Linked DNA regions of Caenorhabditis elegans. The protein of the gene in region 1 interacts with the protein of each later gene in a pairwise test. Each region holds a gene or a part of one and is shown on either strand. Other genes may lie near its edges.

Evidence for each region. The genes of interacting proteins can lie anywhere in the genome.
Region 2: the proteins of F47B8.3 (region 1) and nssp-82 interact in a two-hybrid assay, tested with the Caenorhabditis elegans proteins (one large-scale study listed by BioGRID).

Annotation. Positions count from the first base shown.
Region 1 is NC_003283.11:14,320,805-14,324,852, reverse strand, and holds F47B8.3 (Glutaredoxin domain-containing protein), read left to right. Parts: upstream 1-1,849; 5' UTR 1,850-1,976; coding exon 1,977-2,077; intron 2,078-2,524; coding exon 2,525-2,783; intron 2,784-2,829; coding exon 2,830-3,003; intron 3,004-3,053; coding exon 3,054-3,374; 3' UTR 3,375-3,486; downstream 3,487-4,048. Other genes in the region: F47B8.18 (Skin secretory protein xP2-like), read left to right, coding at 1-30; F47B8.4 (Glutaredoxin domain-containing protein), read left to right, coding at 265-359, 404-656, 702-881, 926-1,246; F47B8.14 (Skin secretory protein xP2-like), read right to left, coding at 3,540-4,048.
Region 2 is NC_003284.9:8,065,313-8,068,607, forward strand, and holds nssp-82 (Neuropeptide-Like Protein), read left to right. Parts: upstream 1-2,255; 5' UTR 2,256-2,375; coding exon 2,376-2,450; intron 2,451-2,498; coding exon 2,499-2,555; intron 2,556-2,615; coding exon 2,616-2,711; 3' UTR 2,712-2,785; downstream 2,786-3,295. Other genes in the region: C18A11.3 (DUF4309 domain-containing protein), read left to right, coding at 137-282.

The DNA of each region.
Region 1 (4,048 bases):
ATGATGCGCTTCTCCCGTCTCGTTTTTTGAAAACTTTTTATTCTACATTTTCGATCTTGCTTTTACCAACTGGTTCATTTTCATTTACGGTTCAAATGACATCAACTTTTAATAAAATGTTTCTATCATTTCGCATGTGCTGTTTACTTTTTGCTGCTCGACCAGGTGATACTCTTATCAGTTGAATACTTGAATACTGCACACTGACTGTTTTGTGTTCCATTTCAACACATTTGTTGTTTACTTCAAAACTACTAAACTGAAATGGGAAATTATCTTGAAAGCTCTTCAGAAGAATTCAATGAAGCTGCTTGGCATTCAAGTGAGGAAGATTTCAGTGTCAAACTTACAGTTTTAAGGTATATAGGAAACATATTGCGTTCACCAGAAAGCACATTTTCAGAGATGCAATGATTCAATTACGAGTTCAGTTTCTACATTTTCAAAGTATTTTCTATCATCAGAATAAAGCCAAAATTGAGCACGAAAAGAAGTCACTCAATGTTATAATTATAGTCGTTCAAAACCAAATTGACGATATAAAGCTGATAGTTGGAGAATATTTCAAAATCAAGAACCTCCAGATGTTGAAGACAATTATTGATAGCTTTGAGTATACATTGAATAAAATAGCATTCGAAATAAGCAAAGCAAAAGTAATGTTTTTTTATTTTTTTAGAAATTTAAGAATAGAATTTCAGGGCCAAAATTTTTTCATCGAGAAGGTAGAGAAACTAATCAACAATCTCAATCCATTCGACGTGCCAATTTACGAAAATATTCAAGGCGTCGTATTAGAACTGAATACTCAAGTTTCATCAATGGGAAATATTCCTGAAAAACTAGAAATTAAAACGCAAAGGGAGACTTTTCAACTCGAAGTGAGTTTAAATCTCTTACAGTTTGCTACAAAATTATGTTACAGGAAGAAAATGAGATCAGAATGGATAATTGTAGAATGATGAGTGGTCAAGCTAAAATTTACAAAATCTTCCGAAAATCGGTTGTTCTTTTCGTGAATTATCTTGAGGATGAGCAAACTTTATCTACAATACAATCACTCAATGATAATCAAATTGAATACACTATATTTGATGTTTCCACAGATTCTGAAATTCGATTTATTTCAAAAGCATTATCAGATTGTGAAACCTTCCCTCAGCTGTTCGTTGATGGAGCTTTTGAGCCATTGCCAATTCTGAAAAATCTTCTTCCGAAGCTTCCCAAGGTCTACACAATGAATTGAGCATCACACAATTTCTAAGCTATATGTATATGTATTGTTTATTTTTTATTATCAATTTAAAATAAATTTTTTCAAAAATAATGATATTTAAAAACTATTCATTCATATGATTTGCTATCGAATTTCATCGATTTTAGTTTTTCGTTAATTCTGCAAGATTTTCCGAAAGGACGTACGTAAAAATGTAGTTAGAACGTTTTTATTTGTGCTTTATTAAAGCAACTCTACTCTTAAAAAAAACTATTCTTAAGTTTCAAAAATAATTGTCAAATAATGACTCGCGAGATATCAGCTGCTTGAACTTTTTCCAGAGTTTGGATATGAGATTTCCTCAATAGGAATCATGTAGACAAACTTGTGGAACATTTTGGCGTTTGAAAGATTTTTTTTGAAAAAATCCTCCATTTTTGAGCTGTGCTTAAAAAGCCATTGAAACAGTAATTTTATATCTCATTTTTCTTAAAATTCTCTTTCTGACTTTTTGGTCATATCTGAGAACAGAGAACCCTGGTATCCCTCTCACATGGCATCTCTAGCCTCTCTGCCATCCTCCTGTTCCTCACCGATGCACCATATAAATCGAAGAGAAACAGAGAAAAAGCCTTGACTATGAAACACTGCGTCTCCGTTCTCTTACACTATTTATATGTTTGCTTTTTTCTCGAACTAGTTATTCTTCGCCAACCAATTTTAATTTTTTCTTTCTTTTGCTTCGTCCTTCTAGGAAACGATGATGCGCGGAGTTTTTGGAAAGTCTCCGGAGAAACTGAAACCCGAATTGGAAAGTGAAGCTGGTGAAGAGGATTTAGGTGTGAAACTCACAGTTTTGAGGTGAGAGAAACGTTCCCTAAAACATGAAAAACTAGTGACGGTTGCGAAATAATTTAAATTTTTTAAGATGTTCAGACAGTAAGTTTCAGATTAGAAAAGGCTCTTTTAGCTGAAATTCTGAGGTGGAATAAGAAAAATTCAATTAGGTATTAATTGTAAGTCCAAATTTTCAAATTATAACCAAGAAATTTGATTCCGAAATTTCAGTTGAATATTTCAATTCCACTCCTAATTTTATGTTTTGTATTTTTCGATAAAATATTTCATTTTAGCATACAAATTTTGCCTGAAACCGTAATTTTTCCGTTGAAAAACGCGGAACATTTGTGAAATTCAAGATTTGCTCACATTCATAATTAATCGATTTTGAATTGCGAAAACTTGCGGAAACCATAATTTTTATTAAAATATGAAATTAGACACTGAACAAATTTAAATTTTTTTCAGAGATGCAATGATCCAAATGCGAATTCAATTTCTCCAGTTTCAAAGTGTCTTCAAATTTTGGGATTCCAATGAAGACAAATTTGTGAATGACCTGAAAGCATTGAAGATCATTGTAACAGTTGTTCAGAATAGGATTGAAGACCTCAGAAACGTGGCTTCGGAGTACATTGAATTGCAAAATTCACAGCTAGCAAAAAGAAAATTGGACAAGTTCGACGATATTTTGAATCTGATCGTTTTGGAAATAAATGAACTAGAGGTAAGTTAAAACATTCTCTTAAAATTTTCAATCATTAAATTTCCAGAGAGACAATTTCTCAATTCAAAAAGTTGAGAAACTAATTAACAAGCTTAACCCATTTGATGTTCCAACTTTTGAAACTTTGGAAGAAGACACTGCAAATCCAGAAAAACTACCCGTTAGCAGAAAAGCCACAAATTTTCCAGATCAATTGACAAAACAAACAGCTCAAAGGGAGGTTTGTTCTGAACTGAAATTCATGTACAATTTTAAAAGTTATGTTTTCAGGAAGAAAGTGAAATTCGAAATGATAATTCAAAAATGGAGAATGGTCAAGCTAAAATTTACAAAATCTTCCGGAAACCAGTTCTTCTTTTTGTAAATTATCTTGAGGATGAGCAAACTCTATCTACAATACAATCACTCAGTGATAATCAAATAGATTACACTATATTTGATGTTTCCACAGATTCTGAAATTCGATTTATTTCAAAAGCATTATCAGATTGTGAAACCTTCCCTCAGCTGTTCGTTGATGGAGCTTTTGAACCATTGTCAAATCTAGAAAATTTGCTTCCGAAGCTTCCCAAGGTCTACACAATGAATTGAATCACTATTTTCTACCTGATCTTTTTACAAACCTCATTTACTCCGAATACCTCGTAAAACTCACATGATGAATCTATTTATTAATGAAATGAAGTTATTAAAAACCGTAAAAATTATGAACCGGTTACAGTGAGAGAGATACATGGGGATATAAAAAAGTGTCAGTTAAATAACGAGACGAGAAAATCTCATCATTTTCTTAGTCGGGTAAGATCCGTCAGCAGCTGGAGCAGCTGCGCCGGCGGAATATCCACCTGCGTCTGCTGCTGGGGCTGCTGGAGCGGCATCTTGTGCCGGAACTGGAGCGGCTTCTGGTGCTGGTGCTGGAGCGGCTTCTGGTGCTGGTTCTGGTGCAGGAACTGGGGCGGGTTCTGCTGGCGCAGCTGGAGCGGCACCTTCTTCAGCATAATCACGAGCAACTCTTCTCTTCTTGGATGGATAAGATCCACCACCAGTTGGAGCATCTGCGCCGGCGGAATATCCACCTGCGCCTGCTGCTGGGGCTGTTGGAGCGGCATCTGGTGCCGGAGCTGGAGCGGCTTCTGGAGCTGGAGCTGGCGTTGGTTCTGGTGCTGGAGCCGCTTCGGGTGCTGGAGCTGGAGCTGAAGCGGGTTCTGCTGGAGCAGCTGGAGCAGCTCCTCCTTCAGCATAGTCACGAGCAACTCTTCTCTTCT
Region 2 (3,295 bases), on another chromosome or scaffold:
CCTTTGAAAAACTGCCGAATTTTATTCCGAAAATTCGACATTGAGCATGTCTCAAATTGAGTTGAAAACCAATTTTGTCTCTTTTCAAATTTGTTCTTTTTTTAAGAAAAAAAAAATGCATATACATTTTTTTCAGGCGCTCTTCTCGCCTGGGACACCTACTTCACTTCTGAAACGGATAGCAGTGAAATGGTTTTCAAGGCGTCGTATGAATATCCACACATGATTCCAGCAAAACCAGACCCTTCTTATTTAGTTACTCCAACCGAATGTTCACCATAACATGAAAACAACTTTAAATATTTTCATGAAATGTTCTTTCAGATATATAATAAGCCCGGAAATGTAGGAATAAAAATAATAAAAATTTATATTATTCTTATTTTATTTTTTCCCTTTTAAATTGATGGTAAATGAACGGATATGTTTTCACGAAAACTTTTAATTCCGAACTGAGTGCTCAATTTCCTCATTCTCAAAATTGTTCGTATTTAGTATTCGAAATCGTAAAGCCGCAAATTCATTTTTGCCATTTCCATTTGGAAGAAGTGCTCTTCAAGAAAAAACAATTAGATTGGGTATATTTGCTGGCCGACTTCAATGATCTTCAATCTCGATTGAAAACTTGAGAATTCTATTGCTTTCCAGAAACAAAATGTTGTTCGTTTTTTTTTCATTCCTTATAAAAAATCGAAAACCACACAATTTCCTTATAAGATGTTCAGGGAAGTGTGCAGTTTCACCGAAATTCCCACTTTATAACAGCGGTGAGACCAAAGAAGCAAACTCTACCCGGTTCTAAGAATTAATTGACAAGTGTTCTACAAAATTAGAATTTTAAAGAAGATGAGGGCAAACCATTTTAGTGGTTTTGTGGTAACTGAGAAAAACAATGTCCACTATATATGTAGACCGCTTTTACAATTTTATGAGACAGTTGAAAAATTATTGTGAGTTCAAATAATCAAAATTTGAAATTTAGCCAATGAAAATTATATTTGAACTTTTAAAAAACCTTTTTAAACTTCTTTTTTTGTTAAAAAAAATAACCCAATTCTGACGAAAATCTGATCCTACAACATTGCTGCGTCTCAAAAAAAAAACGATGCAAAGTTGGCAAACGTCAAGTTTTTAGTTAAAATTATACTTTTTCTCTGTTTATTTTGAGCCGCCATAAAAATTTCTGAATATGGCTGGGAGGTTTCATTACAACAATTTGTTTATTTCGGCGCATTTAAAGTCTATATAACATATGTAAAAACTCAGTGATGATAATTCTTGTTTTTCTTCGGATTATTTCAGTGATATTTAAAACAATCAAGCTTTCAAAAAAATAGGTATAAAACGTTGAATGCAAAAATTTTGGTATATCTAAGCATCATGTAAGCCAACAAAAGTGGGCGTTGTGACTAGAAAAACAACAAAAATTATCTGAATACTCATCCAAACACATTTTAATGCAAATTACCTTGTGGGCGCTCTCATGTTACTGACTCGGAGCCAAATTTCTCCAAAACTATAAATTCTCGTTTTTCCCAATTTCATGCACACTTGAATTTTGTTTTCCTGTAGACATCGTTCAAAATATTTCCCCGAACTTCTCATTTAAGAAATTGCAGTTCATAAATCTTCAATGGTTGTTTTTATACGTAGGTGAACTTTTGAAATATCGAAAATCGCTGGGCCATTGAAAATAAATGACACGTATTGAAATATCCATGAATTTCCGTTGTCCAACCCCAAACGTCACTTGACAAAGTCCACCAAAGTGCTTGCCTGCTTTAAAATTCTTAATTTTAGTTGACCAATTCAACTAGCATATCTCACTATGTGTGCATAGGCATGCACGTGGACACGTCAAGTTTTTTTTTGGTTGCTCAATCGCACTAATGGCTTTTCCAGAGTTTTTTGGAAGTCGTGGTGCCAATAGAAGTAGAAGAAGATGTCAGCCATTTTCTACTCATCCACTTTCTATTCCTTACCTGGTCGCTTAATTTTGCGAATATTGAGCAAGTTGATATGTTTTTTTCGGTAAAAATGCTTTAAAAACTTAAAATAATTTTTTAAAACATATGAATAGCTTGTGGGACATGATTTTTTATTTATGGTATTCTAATCAGATAATATGTATTTTGTGCGTAAAAAACAGAACAATGGATATTATTCGATGCACCATCCACCCACATGATATCATTTTCCTTCTTATTTCCACCCTATGTGCCACTTTGCACACCTACTTGAAAACTGGAGAACCCATTCTATTTCCCGAGAAATACTTGTTCTATTGGTCATTTTATTTTCCGGCTCACTACTTTCTTGCCGAGTTGTATAAGGTTAAAAACATCAAACCCCATTTGTAGAGCCGCATCGCCGTCATGTTCAACGTCAAACTTCTTCTCGCTTTTTTCTTGTGTGTTTTGGTAGTTGAAACTACCACAAAGGTGGTCAAGGTAAAACATAATTAGTGTTGAAATGAAAGCTAAATTCACAATTTTCAGTTTCACTCAGTTTCCTTCAATCAACCATCCTGGAGAACTTCCCAACGCTCCAGACAGGTTGGTAGATGATTTACTGTTAGTTTTCAGCTGCAGTTTTTACAGAGTCACAATTTTCAGATTCAAGGCTACGGTCCAGTGTCGGCGTTTGCTGAAAGCGGCTCCTCTCGACCACTTTTTTTCGGTTCATGGCGCAAACGCTTCGATGAGGAATAAATTTTATTCATTCGTTTCTCAAGATCTTACGTTTTCCCGTTCGTTTGTCAGTGAAAATAAAAAGTTGTTATGTGTTTTTTGTTTTTTTAAACAAGACTGAACATATTGAATTAATTTATATATAGTTGAAAAGGAAATTACATTTTTGCACACTGCAACTTCCGAACTCGCTGGTCTGCAACGGTGGCTCTTTATTCGAATAGAATAATTCAGAAGGTCATTAAAAATGTCGAGAAACGTGATCTGGTCCAAGTCACTTTTAAAGTTGGTAAAAACACTAATTGGAGGAACTAAACTAAAGAGAAAACTAGGATGTGGTATTTGAAGGAGATCATTTTCCTTTGAAAAAGAGGTCATGCATAACATTTTCATAATAATCAGGTCATACCACCCAATACGTTAAGCCAAAGAACAAATATATGTAGACAAGACTTTTCTAAATTCTGGTGCTTTGAAGAAAAAACTTTCAGGCTGAGAACATTGAAAATGCAACGAAGTTTTTTGTTGATTGTTTGTTTTGTGTTGAACGATTACCCTTGTTAAACCATAGCTAAATTTTTCAACTAGGGACTAGAGTACTTGAT